2 linked regions of the Medicago truncatula genome follow. The main gene of each other region encodes a partner of the protein of the gene in region 2 in a complex. Links are inferred from orthologs where the notes say so. Each region holds a gene or a part of one and is shown on either strand. Other genes may lie near its edges.

What was found. Proteins that work in one complex are often made in the same cells at the same time.
Region 1: transcription factor MYB3R-1 (region 2) and transcription factor E2FB share a complex: the UniProt entries of both Arabidopsis thaliana proteins name them as parts of the DREAM-like complex. The link is inferred for Medicago truncatula from reciprocal best matches to the Arabidopsis thaliana genes MYB3R-4 and E2F1.

The regions. Positions count from the first base shown.
Region 1 is NC_053045.1:26,838,992-26,849,501, forward strand, and holds transcription factor E2FB, read left to right. Parts: upstream 1-4,401; 5' UTR 4,402-4,549; coding exon 4,550-4,729; intron 4,730-6,839; coding exon 6,840-7,029; intron 7,030-7,219; coding exon 7,220-7,279; intron 7,280-7,744; coding exon 7,745-7,830; intron 7,831-7,910; coding exon 7,911-7,999; intron 8,000-8,090; coding exon 8,091-8,145; intron 8,146-8,445; coding exon 8,446-8,498; intron 8,499-8,591; coding exon 8,592-8,642; intron 8,643-8,748; coding exon 8,749-8,797; intron 8,798-8,914; coding exon 8,915-8,980; intron 8,981-9,062; coding exon 9,063-9,139; intron 9,140-9,304; coding exon 9,305-9,533; intron 9,534-9,749; coding exon 9,750-9,816; intron 9,817-9,948; coding exon 9,949-10,079; 3' UTR 10,080-10,488; downstream 10,489-10,510. UniProt on the Arabidopsis thaliana protein: Transcription activator that binds DNA cooperatively with DP proteins through the E2 recognition site, 5'-TTTC[CG]CGC-3' found in the promoter region of a number of genes whose products are involved in cell cycle regulation or in DNA replication.
Region 2 is NC_053044.1:54,290,611-54,301,120, reverse strand, and holds the start of transcription factor MYB3R-1, read right to left. Parts: upstream 5,399-10,510; 5' UTR 5,197-5,398; exon of another isoform or gene 5,171-5,196; intron 4,834-5,170; 5' UTR 4,731-4,833; coding exon 4,666-4,730; intron 3,905-4,665; coding exon 3,850-3,904; intron 3,512-3,849; coding exon 3,454-3,511; intron 3,189-3,453; coding exon 3,094-3,188; intron 2,954-3,093; coding exon 2,850-2,953; intron 2,591-2,849; coding exon 2,462-2,590; intron 2,146-2,461; coding exon 681-2,145; intron 515-680; coding exon 234-514; intron 138-233; coding exon 23-137; intron 1-22. Other genes in the region: coiled-coil domain-containing protein 25, read right to left, coding at 9,214-9,366. UniProt on the Arabidopsis thaliana protein: Transcription factor that binds 5'-AACGG-3' motifs in gene promoters. Involved in the regulation of cytokinesis, probably via the activation of several G2/M phase-specific genes transcription (e.g. KNOLLE). Required for the maintenance of diploidy.

The DNA.
Region 1 (10,510 bases), on a different chromosome or scaffold from region 2:
CTAAGATTAGGAAATGAGGTAGACAAGGAGATTAACATATGATATTTTTGTAACAGGAAATTGCCACCAAGAAACTTGGTTGTCGCAATGTAGCGCCATAGAAGCAAATTGATTGTTCGAATATTCATCTTTCACCTAGGAGACGGTGGTTAATCAAGCATTGTACCATATTAATGACAATGACTATTCATCTTCACTCATGACTTCTCTCTATATATTTTCTATGTTTGATGATTGTTTTTTTTTTTTGTTGACATTTTTAATTTGGTTTTATGGGTATTCAACAATTCCATGGTAATGGAAATATCTTTCTTTCTTTTCAAGTTCAGATCAAGGCGTTCGTGTTGCATGGATCAATGAATAATATTTGGTTCATAGCAATGTTTATTCTCATTTTAATAAATAAATTACAAAGGTGATAAACCCTTTTATATATGTAAGAGCTTATTGTGCATCATATTTAATTAATAAAAAAGGAAGTAACAATGTAATTTGGTGTGTCAAATAATTCATATATTTTTTTGCATATGTTTGGTTTTTACTTATTTCCGTTCTAGATCAATTCTTTGGTGCTCTTAGGTATCTATTGTTTGTTTCTTTAATCAAGCTATTGATTTAGGATTGTTATAACTTTGACACTTGATTTAAAAATATATATTCTGCTTTTTTTTTTTTTTCCTCTTCTACTTTTCAGTTGCCTTTGAGGAAAACTTACATATAGTGAATTTTCATTGGTATTGTTGGGAGACTTTATTTTTGTGTGTAAGAATCTTTCAAAAAATTTATTTGTTCGTTGGTGAGAAATATTGATTGTGATTCAACATATTATGGTTTTTAGAAATGTTTTTTTTAGAATGGTGTGTTTAGATGGAAGATTCATGAGAGGAGGGCTTACTTTTCCTTTTTAAATTACAAACACTAAAAAAAAACCACCAAAATGACTTTTTTTCATACTTTTTGTGGTTTTGATTAAACTGAATTCACGACATAAAAAAAACCAACAAAATGACTTTTTTTTCAAACTTTTTGTGGTTTTGATTAAAGTGTACTAAAACGGAAACTCAATAGTAGGGATAAAAATGATTAGACAAATGCAATAATAGAGAGGTAGATTGGGTAAAGAGGGAGCTTTTTTTTAATAGGAGAGATGGAGAATGGGTGAATATTAGTCAAATGCAAAAAGATTAAACTGTAATCAATAAAGGTTTTTATAAATTGTGTTAGCGGTAGGAAAGATTTATTGTCTTCGTGAAACCCACTCCCATAAATTTCACTCATGTTTCATGCATATTCATATTTCTTATATAGATGAGTATGCATCACAAAACTAAGTAAATCGTAAATAACTCCATGTTAGAGAAGTGCATGTATTATCTATCTTATATTTTTTTTATCACATTAGAACTTTCTCTTTTTGAGGGGAATGTATGATATTTCTTTGAATTCTAATAATTTTCTCCAAGATATATCAAGAAAAACTAAACAACATTGATGTTGAAAAACATACTATTTATGAGTTACATGCGTTAGCGCAGTAGAAAGAGTGGACAGACGGGCACGGGAATGCCCGTCTGGACGCTAGTGAAGCCTAATGTGAAATCCTGATCCAAGTCCAATTGAACACATACTGAGAATTATGAGCTGCACTTTTCTTCTTCTTCCTTCCAATATTCACAACCAGCTTTCCAGAAACGTGATTATGCCCAAAGCCCTTTTCCAAAACAGCTTATTATTAAAAATGAAATTGAACCAAAGCAACTTATTGAATACACAACTGAGCCAAAACAGCATGCCCAAAAGAAACTTGTCCCAAACGGGCTTTTGCAAAACGCACTTTTCAAATCAGCTTTTCTAAATCGCGTTCATACAACACGATTACGCTATTGAACTCATTGTCATTTGTGCATTCCAGAATCTCTCAACCATAGCAGAATTCATCAATGTCGTGAAACAAAATACTTCGAACCTGCAAGTGTTCGCCGGAAAACAAGTATGCGACGGTTGTGTTGATTTTCACGAAAACAACGAAAGACGGTTCTTCCCTCTGTCCCATGGTATCCACTGTAGTCAATCAATACCAAAACTTGTGAACTTGAAAAATGAAATTGAAAAAGAAATTGATAGAAAAGAGGGCAACAAACCGCAAAGATTTCCACCGGGATTGAAATCCACAATTGCCTCGTCATGTAACTAGAAGCATTGAAGCTTGTTGTTGAGTGTGATTACATCATGTTCCTGTTCTCCGACGAAGAAGAAACTAACGCCGTAAACAGGTACAGAGCTTGAGAGAACAAAATCGGTGAAGAGACTCTTCGAGTTCCTGATCGCTACTTCAGAAACGGTGAAAACAAATTTTCGATTGTTCAGTTTTGTAGATTCAGCAAATGCGTGAAACAACAAATCAAGACTATGTGAATTCTTGTTTTCTTCCGAAGCATCAAACACAAAGTTGCGCTCAGTGCAACAACGTGAATTAGCGAGAAAGCAAGGAATTTCACCAATCTTGATGGCGAATCCATCAACTGCTGGCTGAAACGAAGCATTCCACGGTGAAGAAACAGAAGTGGAAACTGAATCACCAAAACTACCGAAAATGAAGCAATCTTGCGAAGTGGAGGAACACGAAGATTCTGCAGCAGAAGCTTCAAGATCTTCATCACCAACCGAATCCTCTTCATCACCAACAGAATCCTCTTCAGAATCACTATATGTGCAACAATATTGCTCTGATACCATATCGGAAACTATAGGATCAAAGAGATGAAGATGAAGTTCATAGGAGAAGTAGGCATGAGAGGTAGAAACAAAAGAATAATCCTTGTAATTCATATTGAATTAGATTGAAAAAGATAACCATAGAGTACAATAGTGAGAGATATTTATAGAGTGAGTTAGTTCGTAACTAACTCTTAACTACCTAACTAAGTAACTAACCATAGTTTACATATTATCTAATTATGGTTTATTCACTATACTCTACTAATAACCGTTGCTTCAGCAAGCAATGGTCACGCCACTCTCACGGTCTCCAATGAAAAAAGTGATGAAAAGTTCAAATTACATGCTGACAATCTCACAAAATAACTAACCGCTGGAGCTGCTCTAAGATAAGAGCAGGTTTTTGACGTACGTTAACAAACATACTTACGTATCATCATCAGTAAAGGAACATTGACGGTAAGTAAACTCTCTTTACCACAAATTAGAGAATATCCCCTAAATTATAAATCTTTGTATCGAAAATTGTACCCTGAAGTAAGTAAAATAAAAATAATGAAGTTGAGTACATGGTGGTTATGTTATGTAGCACTGGGGACTGGAGGAATATAAAGTCGGGACTACCGTTAAAACGTGGGTGTGATTCGCGCTGATTCCTAACCGAACAGAGGCAGTTTTATTAAAAAAACACGGCCAAATTTCTTCCATTGTCTTTTTCCTTTTGGTACACGATCCAAGTTTTTATATTTATTAAATGAAAATAAAATTTCCCTAAATAGGATTTAATTAATTTTAAAAAAAACTAGGATTTACTTCACATAAAATGTTTACACACACTATTAACTAAGAGAAAGAAGTCCTAACTCAACTGGCAAAATGCCGAAATTGTTAGGCCGGATGTCATGACCGGGCTTCGAACCCCGGTACCTCCACTTGTGTGTGTGAGTTTATAATGGCTTTGCCATTTCGTCTATCTACCAAAAAAAAAAACTAACAGAAAATATTTGACTTCCATTATCTATTTAAATTATACATATAATAACATTTGACTAGTCAACATAATACATTTTTTATTGTAAAAAAACGTTATAAATTTTTACGTTAATATTGTATTAAAATATTAAAATTAAAATCTAATTAAAAAGTTTGTTTTTTTCATTTGATTTTCTTAAAATAATATTTTTTATTTATTTTCAGTTTCTAGTAAATTCTCTCCTTTAAAATAATCATATTTAAAATACTATCCGACATTAAATATAATCATGAAAATTCTAACTAATATTTTCACAAGTAAAATATCGGTTTTAATTTATAAAATCTAACTCAACTAACAATACAAATATTTTTAAATCAAACATTTTCATCTGATTCCAATATGAAACCTCACAATCATAGTGTGTCTTTTGGTTATGTTTATCATTTCGTCTAGAAAATTATAACCCTTGTGTTAAACAATTAAAACCTGCTCATTTTGTCTAAAATTAGTCCTTGTGACTTAATTTTAAGTTGAATAATTTTTTGTAAAACTTTATTTATCTTTCCAGCAACTTATTATCAGATTTTTTTTTTTAAAACCAAAAGGGTTTACACACAAAAAAATAAAATAAAATAGTGTAATAAAATAATAATAGTAATAATTGATATTGAATTGGGAACTCATTATTTATTTATAAGCACTTCCCTCCACATCAATATCCGAACCAAATTCCCTCCATCATCATCTTCTTCTCCCTCTCCCTCTTCCCTTTCTCTCTCCCGCTTTTTCCCACTTTCCAAACACATAGATCTCTCTTCCTTTTCCCTCCCATTTCCTTCCATCGCCGGCAGGTGGATGTCGGGCACCCGAACTCCTCCCGCCACCGCCGCGCCGGACCAGATCATGCAGCAACGTCAACTCCCTTTCTCCTCCATGAAACCTCCCTTTCTCGCCGCCGCTGATTATCACCGCTTCGCTCCTGACCACCGCCGGAATCAAGACCTAGAAACTGAAGCTATTGTTGTTAAAACTCCTGTGAGTTTTCTATTTTTTTATTATTATTATTATTTTTTTACGTTTTTTGTGATTTTTTTTATGGTTTTTAGTTTAGTTTTTGTAAGGTGATTTAAAGAACTAGGGATCTATTGAATTTTAGGGTTTAATTTCTATTTAGTTATTAAATTGTTGGGATTAGTTGCTGAATTAGTTCTTAGAGTTGAATATTAGTTAGGTTTTACTAAAAAAAGGAATTTTTTCCGTGCTTGAGGAATCAAACTAAGTTATGCTAGTGTCTGACACGTGTGTGAGACACCAACACGACACTAACACATGTGGTTATATTCAATTACGGGTGTCGACCTGTTAGTGTCGTGTCAGGTGTTTGCAACAGTGCTTCATAGAAAAAGAGTGTGTGGGTGTGTTTATTTTTTATTTTTAATATGTGCTGTTATATGAGCTTTAGAGCCTGTTTGGATAAATGGTTTATTTGCAGCTTATGGCACAAGTGCTTATCATATAAGCACTTTTGCATAAGCTTACATAAGCTGTTTTTATAAGCATACACATAAACTTTATTTTGATAGAAAAAAAATAAGCCATAAGCTGTCTTTATTAGTTCTCTCAAACAGTCTCACAAAACTTATGCTAGTAGGTAAGCTCAAATAAGCCAATCCAAACAGGCCCTTAGTCCTTAGGTTTAGTACTTGATCAATGTATTGAGGAACTTGAGAGGATGTGATTGTAACTTGGTCAATTCTAGGCGGTAAGAATCACGTTGCAATGAAAATAATTGGTCAATTCTAGGTGGAAAGGATCACATTGCAAGGAAATGAATCTGTCTATTGGATGCTTTAAAATGCTCCTGAAAAGCCCCATTTAGTTTATGAGCTTACTTTTGCCTGGTTGTTTTTAAATGAGGTTTCTATTTGGTGCAAAGATTTTCTGTAAGAAATTTGGCAAATAAAGGAAATGGGTTACCATACTCGGTCGAAATTTTTTTATGTGGATAAAAAAATAACTCTGCTTCAGAAACCACATTTCGTGAGTTTTTAAGTTTATTTTTGTAGTCTTTCGCTTTTTCCTTTTTGAATTGAATCCATTTAGTCAACTTAGTAGTGTTGCCGTTTGCCAAATACATACGTTTTTAGGAAACTGACCGTAACTGAGTTATTCTATCATTATGTTACTCGTTAAGGAATTCTGAGGGTATCTTGCACATCCTTAGACTATGCTCATGTAAAAAACTAAATTGTGCATAACTTTTCCATTTCTCATAAATGCAAGTAGGGCGCTTCCCTTTTTCTTATTCTTTGCAAAATCTATTGACATAGTTAAAAGTATTGGGTTATGCTTGTGTTGTTATTTGTAGATATTATAAGTAAATTTCTTTCTTCTAATTGATGTGAAGCTATATATTTATGGTTGCTATTAAAAATGCCTCATTACATTGAATTGCGGCTTCGTGATACGGCTGGAGGCCTTGGCTGCCACGCTAAATGCAAATGCAGCGGAAATCGAGTATGGTGTTTGCGGCTGCGTTTCATGGTGGAATTGCTTATTGCGGCCGAAGCAAGGGTCTTACTGCACAAACCCATTCACTCTGGCCACAAATTGGAAGTTTCTTGCCATGAGCTGGTGTTTTTCAGTAAGAACACCGACAGAGAAAAATATAGAACAATGGAGTACAAGAAAGACGCGAGTAGAAACAAGAAAGGAGGAAAAGTAACTGCAATGTGGAGCTATCTAATTTTTTAATATCGGGAAGGGAACATTTTAAATTTAGGGTTTCCGAAATTAGGCTTTAAGTTAGTCTAATGGTGGTCCACACCCCCTTTTTTTCTACCGACACCCCCTTTTCTACATAGTGAAGACTAAAATACCTCTGTTCTCACCTTTTCTACCCCTCTTTCCCTTCCCCTCGCAAGCACTATCCCAGTTGTATAATCGATTGCTCTGCACCAATATCCGAGATTAACAACATTGATTTATGATTAATGGATTATTTATGAAAATACGATTCTTACTATTCTAACTTACTCTATATAATCTTTTTTTTTAAGTCAACTTATCTCCGCGAGCACCTGCTTAGACTAATCCATAATCTTTTCTATTTATTGTTACTTACTATTATATTCACACATTTCAGCAATTGAAGCGGAAGAGTGAAGCAGCTGATTTTGAAGCTGATTCAGGTGATAGGATGACTCCTGGGTCCACTGCAGCAGCCAATAGTTCTGTTCAGACGCCTGTATCTGGAAAGGCGGGGAAAGGAGGAAAATCCTCTAGGATGACAAAATGCAACAGATCTGGAACTCAAACCCCTGGCTCAAATATTGGTGAATATTTTTTTCGAAACTTTGTTAAGTAGGATTCTACATTTATCATTTTCCTAATATATTCAAAGAAAATAAGGGTAGCCAATATTTTGGTTGACAACTAGATTTCTATCAACTAACATACACCATCATTCCTTTAATTATCGATTTTGGCTACCAAAAAGTTATACTTTTTATATAAATTTGGCAGGTTCTCCTTCAGGAAATAATCTCACCCCTGCTGGTCCATGTCGATATGACAGCTCATTAGGTATTGCCTAATTTTTCAGTTTTGATTAGTTGATTGTTGATCATCGGTGGTTTATTGTTATTCAATTCTTTACAGTTTAAGTTACACATTAAACACTTGTAGTTTCTCCCTTTTCAAACAACCTCCACCAACCTTTTTTTCATGACGCTCAGTCACTTAACCTCCCTCAACTCTGGTTTAAGTTGAAAATGTTGATTTTGGGTAACTTTAATGTCGATCATTGTTTACTTTACACATTACCCTCCTAACTAAATGTAATTTGGTGGCAAGTTGAGAAAATGTTAAACATATATTTAAATTAAATTGAAAATTTAATGTTTTAAGTTAAACCAATGTTTAGGGGGGGTTAAATGGCTAAAATAGGTTAAGTGGGTTTGTAATGAACCCTTTCTTTAAATGTTTTACTGGTGAGTGAAGATTGTGGGTACATTTTCTCACCTATATCATATTGTTAAAAACAAATAGGTCTGTTGACAAAAAAGTTCATCGCTTTAATAAAACAAGCAGAGGATGGTATTCTTGATCTAAATAATGCTGCTGACACATTAGAGGTAACATTTGCTTCCTGTCTAAAGATTACATGCTCATTACTGGAATGTTTGAGAATTTCATGAAGCTTTTGTGTCTACAGGTGCAAAAGAGGAGGATATATGATATTACAAATGTTCTTGAAGGAATTGGCCTTATAGAAAAAAAGCTCAAGAACAGAATTCAGTGGAAGTGGGAGTTCTTTCCATTCATCAGTCATTGTTGTCATAATTTTATCCAAAATTTTGAAACACTTTTACCAATTTCTTTGATGATTGACCAGGGGGCTGGATGTTTCAAAACCAGGGGAGGCCGATGATAGTTTTGCTAGTTTACAGGTTAGGAAGGACTAAATTTTTATCTTTGGAATTCACATGTAGATGATTTTCTTTAAAAGTTAGAAAGACTGGTGAGATATTCATGTTTTCCTGTCAAGAGCTTCCCATTATTCAAGCTGAAGCTACCTTATCTGTAAATCATTTTATGTGTGACTGCTTGTAAAGCATACTTTTTTATTTGGTTGAAGTAAATTTACAGACTTTTTGACTTATATAATTCATGGCATATAATAAATTTGATGGTAGTATTAAATCCTTATAAATGTTGGTGTTTGATTTGTTTTTGTTTCTCATATGCAGGCAGAAATTGAAAATTTAACAATTGAGGAACGCCGGTTGGATGAACAAATAAGGTTTGGATGTTTGCCTTTGCTGATTCTTCTTTGTTGCATAATTGCAGTTTTTGCCTGTTGTCTATTAAGAGTTTATTTTTATTATTATTGCAGGGAGATGCAAGAAAGACTACGGAATCTCAGCGAAGATGAAAATAATGAGAAGTAATATTATTTTTCCTTAATCCATATTTGGGTCTTTTAGCCGTACTTTTATGTTCATAATTTTATTTAATGTATTTTTTCTTTATTTTCTTTCCACCCTCAAAAGGTTTCTTTTTGTCACTGAGGAAGATATAAAGAACTTGCCCTGCTTCCAGGTTAGTTTCCCTATTTATGAATTACAATGAATATTTTGATGTGGTGTTTCTGTTTCCTTTGCTTCTTGTATATAAATTTATTTTGGATTTTAACTGGTTCTATTTTCCTATTGCCAGAATGAAACCTTGATAGCAATTAAAGCTCCACATGGTACCACTTTGGAAGTACCTGATCCTGATGAGGTAATTTAAGAGGATATGAGAAGTTGGTAGAAGTAATCAACAGATTTGTCTTTCTGAATGCAAATTCCCTTTTTCCTATTAGGCTGTTGATTATCCCCAGAGAAGATACAGGATAGTCCTCAGAAGCACAATGGGCCCAATAGATGTTTACCTTGTTAGGTATGCTTAATGTTTTTGGGTGTTTTGCTAACATTTGCTTCAAGGGTCATTTAGCTGTTGCAATGACATGTCAGATGACAATGCCATATGAAGCGATGATGCTTGAAGCTTGCAACATGCTATAAAGTTGACATTCTTGATCTCACCCTTTCACTGCCATTGTAGTCAATTTGAAGAGAAGTTTGAGGAGATCAACGGTGTTGATGTTGCATCCAAATTTCCACCCAGTCCAGAAGTTAACAAAGTTAACAAGGATCAATCAACCGTGGTCCCAGAAGATAAAGGGAAGGAAATAGAAGTGCAGAGACAAGATGGTGAAGGGCCTAGTTCAGATCTTAATAACAATCACGACTTCGTGAGTGGGATCATGAAGATTGTTCCTTCAGATGTTGCTGTAAGCATCACCTCAGTCTGTGGGATATTTGTTTTTTGCATTTGCAAATTGTTAGGAAAGAGTGTATCTTATGTCCAGAGTACCAAAATCTGAAGGGTGTTAGCTTTCAAAATATATAAGTTATTGCATGTTTTTTGTTGTGAAGGTTCTAGCGTTGTTTCTGATTTAAGAAAAAAAACCTTGGAGCTAATTTGAAATTGTGATATCTTTTTGCAGAGTGATGCTGATTATTGGCTTTTATCTGATGCCGATGTTAGCATAACCGACATGTGGAGAACAGAACGTATTCTCTCTAGACACCTTAGTCTCCATTTCATTCATTATTCATACACATATACACACACAAACACATCAAAAGAGAAGGGGTTTGGAAGTTCCATAATTTTTTTTTGTAATTTCCTTGATATATTTACAGCTGGAGTTGAATGGAATGAACTCGAAGCACTTCAAGAAGAATATTGTATGGCTCGTGAGCAATCTACAACCCCAAATCATGCTTCAAATATTGGTGAAGTGCCTTCTGCATCCAACCCTACTGTAGGATGAAGCCTCAAAAGGATTTATTTTGAACCTGAAGAGAAAGTTGTGTTCTTTCTCCAACTGAGAACCTATGACATCCACCCAGACCTGCGAGGTTGGATTGAAGGTTGCTAGAAGATACTTTCTCAATGTTTCATCAAGAAGCTTGTCCTGGGGAACTGAATGGCCAGTCAAATGGCTAATTGTACAGTTAGAATTACATAATCCAAGTGACTTTGTACTTCTAGAGGAAAAAACATGTGGCTTTTGCGAACCCAACTTTGTATATTGTAATGGTGGGGCATTCTAGACTACTTAGCGCGATGTGTATGTTTGAAAGGCAATAAAAACACATTTCAGATTGCTAATTGAAGTAGAATTTTGCTCTCAGGCAGAGCACTGATCAAATAAAAAGTTTCATGACATTCTATGGTCATTCTGTTTCTTTGATCCCTTGT
Region 2 (10,510 bases):
AAATCAACAGAATATATAGTACCTCGATAGTAATTTCAGCATCAATCCTAGGACTAGACAAAAAGGTGTTTATAAACAAAGGGGATTTCCATGCTGAAGGTGATTCAAAGCTTTTCCTAAAAGGCATTCCTCCAAAACTGAAACCAAAAGAGAAGTTACTCAGAAACAATGTGATCCATTAAAAACTTTGAAAAAAATTTAGATAACAATAAAATCATGTTAAGGAATAGTACATGTTATTTGTTTCAAAACCATCATCATTTCCGGTTTGATCATCCATATTCTCTCCTGGGATTGATGATGAACAGATGGATTGTACACAAGTAACAGAAACTGAGAGTCTTTCGTGCTCCTTTAATCGAACACAAGGAGAGCTAAATCTTGAGACTGATTTTTGATGACTTCGAGCACTTAAACTTAGAACTATGTCTGATTTCAAACCAACTTGATTAGGAGAATACAGCGATGGATCATTCATATCATGTTCAATCAAAACTCGAGAAGGCTGTTGCACCTGACCAGTAAAAATAACAAGTCAATATTACAAAATTTGGACTGCAATCGACCACAATAGAATAATAACATTTTGGAGCACAGTGACAAGTTAGTATTTACAACTATTAATATTCTTAAGAGACAAGGATCATGGTGGTTTCTCGAATAGTAAAAGTAGTACTTACAATTTCAGCAGTGGTATCAATATCATTCTTCATCTTAGAATCAGCATCAAGTGGAGGCTGCTCAATCTTCTCCTCAGAGTTACTTTTATCCTCCACCATAAAAGCTGGTCCACGATTTTCTTTATCATGTTCAATACCTTGAGTCTCATTGTCATCAAACATGACATCCAAACGGGAAAAGTTTCTAATCAAAGTTGACGTCATGTCAATCTCATGTTTCTTCTCCATTCTTCTATCTGATAGTGGAGATAAAAGGTCTCTTTCTCGGTTTCGTTTCTTCTTCTTCATTATGGACGGTGTACTTGTGAAAGTTTTAGCAGCACTTTTTAACAAAGCGTCCGGACTATCAATGCGAGAAGGTGAGTCCCACAATCTGAAAGGAGTCAGACAGTTCATAGAAGACATCATAAACTGGCGGATACCTAAGGGACTAAATTCTTGCTGCATATCTCCAGATTGTATAAGATCACAGCTCAAGAAAGGTATATCCAAGCTTGGAAAACGGGGCGGTTCATAACATAGAGTTCCTCCTGTTTCCTCCTGTTGTGTATGCACATTTGGCTTTTCATCAATTGGATAGCAAGTTTGCATCGTATCTGATCCACATCCAGAATTACTTACAGGCTCCAATTTTAAACTATCATCTTTCACAACATCTTCCCTCGAGTCAAATTGCTGATCCACAGAGCCGACCAACTGATTTGCTTCGGCAGTAGACATTATCATCCTACTATCAGATGGTAAAGACGAATGACAAAGAGATGAAGTGTATCCAGACAAGTCAACATTATTTACTCCTCCAGAGGAAAAACATTCATCGCTCATTGCCTCTGAAAATAGGAATCTGCAACATTCATCATCAGTTATCAACATGTTTTGTTCTCCTTTAGCATTGCCCATAGATGAAGGCCGATATTCATATGGAACAATCATCATGTTTTCACCAGAAGCTAAAGAATCATTTTGCAACTGCGTCGATTCCTGCCCAAAGTCCAGTGAGGTGGGCAAAGCATGTAAATTAAATTGGCAGTCCACATTTGCGGAGGAACTCCCAGGTTCGTTTGAATATTTTTGCTCAAGAAATTGAGAGGAGCAAACCTCTTGGAGAGTAACACCATCCAGAGACATGTAATATGGCTCTGAACATGATGCTTGATTAGATTCTTCATTTTGCCTGTACTCCTCCACATTTTGTATAACGGCAATGCTCAACTCTCTGCCAGACGGAAAGTGACTAGCATTAATGGACTCCTGGCTACACTGTGAAACTTCCTCACCTTCTGTGCCCCTAGGACCATTATCATCTACACTAAACTGCAACCTTGCAGAGGATGAAGCAATAGGTTGATTCGGATTTCCAACAAGTGGGACATTTTGAAACTGAGCAAGCAAGCCTGACGCCAAGTAGGAATCCAATTTTTTCTTAACAGAACTATTCCAGTGGTTCTTTATAGCATTGTCTGTCCTGTTTCCACATCAGAAAATGAAAAATCACATTTTCAAATGCTAACTAATAAACAGAAGTAAAAAATGAATCTAAATTTCAGCCAGAAAAACATGCATATTCTGATAGCATGATATTTTTATTGATAAAAATTGATATTTTTTTCTACCTGACGCCAGTACTGTAGGGTATCCAGATCTCTAATGAAATCAGCCCATAAAATACATAAGAAACAGTGATTCCAAAAATGAAGTGAGAGCATGGTTGCATTGCATGCACTTTTCAACTTCATTCCTTATTTAAATGAAATGCAAAAACCAAATTAACGTGTATTTACCTTCCAGGCAAAAACTTTGATAACTCTGCCCATCTATTCCCATATATCTGATGAGCATGTATTAGAGCCAACTCTTCTTCCTGCGTCCATGCTTCTTTGTTTATAGAAGGATTAAGATGATTATGCCACCTAATAATTTTTCAAAAATTATCATTATCAGCGAGAATGAGAATTGACTACTACAACCCCCCAAGCGTAATTTAATTTATATATGTGTGTGTGCAATACGGAAAAAATACAACAACAACCAAGTCTTATCCCACTAAGTGGCAATAAGAAAATGTAGTCGGAATAAATATTAAATACATTGTACTCTAATTTAATGTTTTTGGACGTAAAGTATGTTAATCATAACATACATTAACTATTAGAAATCCAATAACCATACCTTTCTCGACATTGCTTACCGATACGTCCAGGTAAATGTTGTGCTATAGTAGACCACTTTTTAGGCCCATATTTGTTTACCAAATCAACAATTGTTTCATCTTCCTGTTTGCATTCAGATTGATAGGTAAGTAAATAACAGATCTCCAAACAGAAAATGGATAGAATAGGCTATCATGTCAGAACCAACACAAAATTGCTAAGTATATAATCAACACCGGCAAGAAATGAGAAGTTGATATTACCTCTTTGGACCAAGGACCTTTGATAAGTTCTGGATTTAAGACTTTTTGCCACCTATGCAGGCATTGTACATCAGTTCTATCCTTGAAACACTCCGCTGCAAACACATTGTACAATCATAACAAGTCAAAAAACAATATTGAATAGGTGTAAAGACAACAAAAAAATATAAATTGAGTTTACTACAAATATATAGATTGATTCCCCAACAAACACCAGTTCTTTTTCCCATTTTAAATCTCCTCAGTTAAGCCTGTAAAGGTCCAACTGAAAAAGCTCGTCTAGTTTTATGAAGAATTGGACACAACCAATGCTCCACTATGCAGTTATACGCCAAAAGAAGTATGTCGTGAAAATATTACCTATTTTTTTCCAATTTTTTCCTTGAAAACGCTCAACAGCCTTCCTCAATATATTATCCTGCATACACAGAATTCATGTATTTCACTTGATCATATAATACATTTTTACATAGAAGAATTTCAAAGAAAAATCAAGTACAGCTTCTAAATGCACATGTATACAAAAAAAGTCATTGCATTATTTAGCCATTTATGATCTTCAAAGAAGTCTACACAATAACTATTAACTATAATGATTGAAAGTGAAAAAGTTAACACAATAAGTCTATAGATGCTAAATTTCACATGATACAAAATTTTATTGTGTCTCCCCTAAAACAGACAAATGAAGTTGCAGTGGAGCAATGTTACCAAACTTTAGAAAGATGTAATATGTTAAAAGTATTAAAAATTCACCTCCTCGGGTGTCCATTGTCCTTTAGTGGATCGCCTTGTAGGGCCAGTAGTCCTCCTGCAAATACGTGCGTAATTGTATGAGTAAACTCATTTCACTGCTTATAAATATATAATGACATGTTATAGATTTCATAAAAAAAAAAATTTAAATGTCGAAACGTTTTAAAATCCTCATAAAGTATATGTCTTTTGTCTTTTGCATATAAAATTTTCATAATCTTCAATTTTGTTTGGCAACTGCTCAATCTCATTATAGTAGCTAAGCTACCACCATTGATTGACCAGGTATAGTGACCTTAATGAATAATAATTAAAGTGGATACACCCCATTGAAGTTGAAAAAGTTTAGAGAGTGCCTCATTTTGGCTTTTCTTGTGCAACTTCACACTCAGGTGTTAAGCCAGCAATGTGGCACCGATTGGAAGTGTCGGAGTGTACAGGGGACGGGTGCATCTATTCGACTTTGGTTGAACAAATCAAATCAGCAGAAATGTGACAGAAAAATGTGACAAATGTGATAGGAAAATGTCACAAGTATAATGTTACCACTCTTGCAGACCTCTTTTCAACTAGCTTAAGGAAAAAAGGTGTAGGAAAATTGTAATGACAGATGCGATAAGCTATAATTGGGAAAATAAGGATTCATTTCTTTGTCTTGGTAATAAATCATTTCATAATCAAAAGAAAGCAAATAACAACTCCAAACATAAACATACCAATGAATCTAAAATTTACTTCCAAAAGGGGTATCTGAGATTAAAGCAACAAGTGCATATCAAGCATGTTAGTAAAACAAAAGATGAATTTAAGATTTACCCATGTAATGCTCTAATTTTCTGTACGCCATCTGATAAAGCAGGAATTGTCGACTCACTTCCCATAGTGTACCGGAATTTCGACTTGTCTGCAATTATCTCCACAATTTGTCCTCCAAATCATTCTAATCCCTAATCCACACTTGTAAAATTACCCAAGCAAAAATTCCTGCAAACAAACATATGAATCAATATAAATTGAATTCAAATTTCAAAAATAAATCACATAAGTCGCACAAAGTGGGATCCGCTACATGGATCAAACACATGGCGGCATTACGAATGAAATAGAGAAATTTAAACAGACTGGATCCTTACAAAATCAAACAATTAAAGTAAAAAATTCAAAAAAAGGAAGAAAAAAAATAAGGAATTCAAATTTAAAGCAATTTGAAAACTCGGAATAGAATTTACATTTAAGCATAAATATGAGTTGTAGATTGGAGAATAAACATAAATATAAACATGAAGAAGAAATCGAAATCAAAATGCAAGCGTTCACCAACCATTGTTCAAAAAAAAAAACACCAACCAGATTGAGCTTCAGAAATGAAGATATTCGAGAAAATAGATGAGGAAATTGAAACTGTGTGAAAATGAAAATCCGAATGGATGGATGTTGAAGAAAGATCTAGAATTTGACATCAACATTCAAAGTAGGGAGAAGAATAAGAAGAGGTTTTAGTGAGAGAAAGTGTTAAAGGAAACGGTCTTCTCAATATTCAAACTCAAACATAAAGGGGCGGAAACTATTTTCTCTTTTTCTTTTCTTTTCTTTTTTGATTTTTTTTTTCTTTTTTCCTTTTTTCACAAACAATATTATTGACTTTTTTAAAATGAACGGTCGTGATGAGAAACGTCGGAGTCAAGGTTCACATTTTACCTTGAGTTTTTATTTTTCCAAAAGTGCAACGGTCATATTTTTTATTTTCTTTCTTTCAGATTTCCTCCACATATTTTTCTGAAGTTTGTTTTTTTAGCAGATTTTTTCTGGAGTTTACTAATATTTTTACATTATATCACCTACTTACATTAATGCTTAATGGAAAATACTAACAAATGTTTTTTTGTGGTGTTTTTGCTAACGAATGTTTTAGGATATTTTTTAAGCATTTAAAAACAATAATTTTTATATTAAAAATTGTGTAGTTATAACTTTTACATGTGTTTGACTTGTATTTCTAAGATAAAATGTTTTTTTTTATATGTTTCTTAAACAATGTTCTTAAAACACTGCGTAACTCATTTTTAAAATATAGTATTTTTGTAAGTATCTTTTCATGAAAAACTATAAAGATTAATTTTTATACATTTTTGCCGTAAAACTTTTTTAGATATGCATTAAATCAAAACATTCTAAATACATTGTTTGTTTAATTAATATACATTGTCGGTTTATAAATATTCTACAATGAATTCAACGATGTGTTGTCGCGTAAGTTAATGAATACGTGAACTCGTGTGTTTTCATATTCATTAATTGACGTTGTAAGACATCATTTGATACATGTGTAAAATAATTTTACATTGTTAAATTTGATACATGTGTAAAATATGAAAATTTGATATTTTGAAAATATTCATCGAGACGAATTCAACGATATTTTATATGATATTATTTATCTTTGTATATTAGCAGAAAAATATAGTCAAATTATGTTTGGTCAATAGTGCATATTTTCAAATAGATCATCTATTGAAGGACGGATGAAGTATATAGCAATTAACTCAATGATATTTATAAAAGACGTTTTAAAAACTAACTTAAAAAATGTAGCATCGGATATTTATGTTGCCCTGTGTTTACAAATTAAATCTCTTTTTGTGGCGTCTTTTTTTGTGGTGTTTTACGAATTAAATCTAAAACTAAATATATATTTTTAAGTATCTATGTGTTGTTTGTTTCAAAAAAAAGTATATATGTGTTGTCAAAATAAATTATCTCTGTGATATGAAGTGTCATGCACGTATAAAATTTTACAATTTACTAAACTTCCCTTTTCCCCATTTTATTTTGAGTTCTAACGCAAGAAACAACAAACACGGCCGTATTATCTATTTTTACTCAGGATTAAAACAAGTTACCCAAAAAAACAAGATTATGCTTTAAAGAAAGAAGTTTTTATTTTGAAAGAAGATCAAAACGTCCCATATGTGAAAATTCATTAAATAAATATTAAAATATTTTTTAAGAAAACTGTCGAAGTAAGAGAATCTCAATGACAATAACAATAGCATAATTTTTTTTTTCCTAAAGGTTTAATCGAACATAAAAAATAAAAATAAAAAAGAAACAACAACTTCTTGTCAAAAAAAAAAAAAACAACCACAACAACTTCGAAGGTTCTTTGAAAAAACAACTTTGAAGGATTTTAATTTAATTAAAGGTGCAATATTTAGTTTCTTTAATGCAAATAATAATAACTAGATTAATTTACTAAGATTGTCAATAGATCATTTACCGAAAGAAAACAAAATGCCAATATATATCATGTATGTAAAGTAAAAAGGAAACAAATTTGGCAATTTTCTTTAGGTCAATATAATTATATAAAAACACGGGTTGCAACCATTGAATTAAGTTGGATTTTAAGGGGGAATTAAGAAGAATTTTTGTTTGAATCATTGAGTTAAGATTAATTTATGTTGACAAGATTGAATTAAGATTAATTAAGACTTATGACTCGGATCATTTTATTTTATGTATGATGACTTAAAATTCATTGAAACTCGGCAAATCAGGACGGTTTTTGTTCTTTTCTTCACCGAAATATGTAATTAGAATTGGACTTTTGCTTTGGACAGTTCTGCTCAATTGATCGAATCATCGAGTTTTACTTAAAAACACTTTTGTTCACATCCACATGGGATTTAGTAGGAATCGTGGATCTGCATGTGCAAATTGGGCATACACCCATTTGAATCAATATATGTTTTCTGTTGAGTCTCTTCCTTCAAGGGTTCAAAACAACAAATACATGACTGTTTTGAGGATTACAGCAAAGGATGAATGGGGTAACATGAAGAGTATATCTAATTATAGCATAAGAAAAAACCAGAATAATTTTTTTGAAAGAAGAAAAAACCAGAATATTGTTGCTATTATTAGGATTAGTCACAATGAATCAACCAGCTAATTTATTTTGAATAGATCCTAGGTTTTAGTTTTATAGCAAATGTTGGTAGTTAGTTTGTTAGATCAATATTTTATTCCATGATCGGGTTTGATCCAATACCTCCAAGACTTTTTTTCCTTAACTCAAACTAGTTGAGTTGAGCTGTCCAACCCCCCCGCCTATGGTCATATACTTATATTTATTTGTTCTTATTTCTCATGTTAGCCATGTGTTTGTATCAAAGTCGTTCCCGTCCCGGCTGATGAAACTAGCATCAGCACTGTAAGTGTACTATTAGATGTCAACTTATATAAGACTTTTTAAACTAGCATCTACAATGTACGTCTAATAAAACTTTACTATATGAGGAATGATATTTTGACAACCAATTTTAGACAACTTTGGGTGACAACCTTTTTCCTCCATTCTTATTGGACAATAGCAATAGAGAGAAAGAAAAAGGAAGAGAGAGAATAAAGTATAATGAGAGTATGAGAGAGTTGTCACCGAAGTTGTTAAAAATGATTGTTCAAATATCATTTCTCTCAACTCAACCATAATAACAATAAGAGTAATGATATTTTGACAATCAATTTTCAACAACTTTCAGTGACAACGTTTTTCCTCTTTTTATTGGACAATAACAATAGAGAGAGAAAAAGGAAGAGAGAGAATAAAAATACAATGAGAGTATGAGAGAGAGTGTTGTCACAAAAGTTGTTAAAAATGGATGATCAAATATCATTACTCTAACAATAAACCTGTTCAATTCAGCTCCAAGTGTAGTAAATTGGATCACGTTTGAACTTTGAAGTGAAAACACGTCTCTAATATCTTTATGACTGGCTTATAACCTCTCCAACAAGAGTGGTTTTTTCAGCTTCGTGATGAAATGTGCAAACCAGCAAAATATCATCACTGTTAGGGCATACATACATAACTTACATGTATGCTTATGTGCTACTCTTGCAGCCTCTCACTAAATAATATTCTATTCCTACCATTAGTCTTGTGATAAAAAAATAAACGAGCTTCTCTGCCAGTACCATGAATACTTCAAAATGCCCTGATAATTTATCGCATAGTTAACAATTTCCTAAAAGCAAAAGTTTAAACCTGACAAGCCTAACAAGACTCAAAATTATAGCAAGAAACATCAGTTTTTGACTCGACTGTGAGAAAATAAAATAAAAACCATTGTCACAAGCAAAGTTATAAATCAGGTATATAACCATCACAAGGTATGAAAACCAATCATTGCATTCTCCCCTCCCTATTTTATATTCTCCTTTATCCCTAAATCACAGTTGGGTACACACACCACTTGGTTTCCTTAACCAAGACAATGATGCAGTTTCAGATTCCAGTTGGGTTATTTAATCATGGCAGCAAGTTGACCACCAGTCATTTGTCTATAAGCCAATAACCAATGTTTACATGAAATCCTCCTCCACTTCCTGGAATGATCTGCTTCCTGAAGCAATGTCTTTGTTGGATGTCATATTTTCTGCGACCATCAAACCCTTGTAGCTCCTAAGCTCTGATTGTTTCTCCTTTTCTAGTCTGTCTATTTCCTCACGGCGCTTCTGCACACAGAAACATGTGATTTGATTCTAGCAATTGTTCAAAGAAAAAACAATTGAACTAGATCAAGAAAACACTAAGATGTTACACGACAATGAAGATATTTCATTTTTAGCAGGCAAAGAAAACACCATGAACCTTAGGCCCAATCCTCAAATTCTTAACAAAGTTCACACATATAACATCCTAAAGGACAACAAGATACAAAGTGACACAAAGTACTCAAGTAGTGCCTTAGGACAAAGGAAAAGATAAATTATATAGTAGACAACTATGCCCCAAGGAGAATGCAACATGTCAGTCACAAAGAATGCTTCTGCACACAGAAACATGTGATTTAATTCTAGTAATTGTTCAAGAAAAAAACAATTGAACTAGATCAAGAAGACACTGAAATGTTACGCTACAAAGATATTTCACTGTTAGAAGGCAAAGAAGACACTGAACCTTAGGCTGGATTCTAAAATTCTTAACAAAGTTTACAAACATAACATCCTAAATAACAACAAGATGGAAAGTGACTCAAAGAACTCAAGCAGTGCACCAGGACATAGGGAAAAATAAATTACATTTTAGACAACTGTGCCCTGAAGAGAATGCAACATAGACAGCGGTAAAAATACAAACAATCATTCACCAATTTGTTTCGGAGCACAGCCATTGGTCAAAGATCTAATAGAAGAGTTTGTGCAATATTTTATGAGTTTGACAATGATATGGAACTCATTTGTTTCAAATTTAATCACTTCCTAGGATTTTCTATCTGTTTATTTCAGCATTGGGAAACAACTAGAATAAAAACACCGGATTATAATGACTATTAGTAGCTTTTGAGAAATAATTTGATATTAATGTGTGATATATTCATTCACTTATGCTTTGTATAAAAAACCTCTAAAATAATCACTAGCCAGGGTAATCTAATGTAAAAATCACTATTATTAATTTTAAACAAACTGACTCTATATAATGTCATCTTAAGTGTTTAAATAAGTTTGTTTTTTTAGCAAAAGTGTTTAAATAAGTTAACAATATATCATGAGGTGCTAAACATATTCCATGATGTATGTGACAATACATTGTTGTATGCCTGGATGCAAGTGTACAGATTTTTTGCAATGACAATGCATCAAAATTAAATTATAC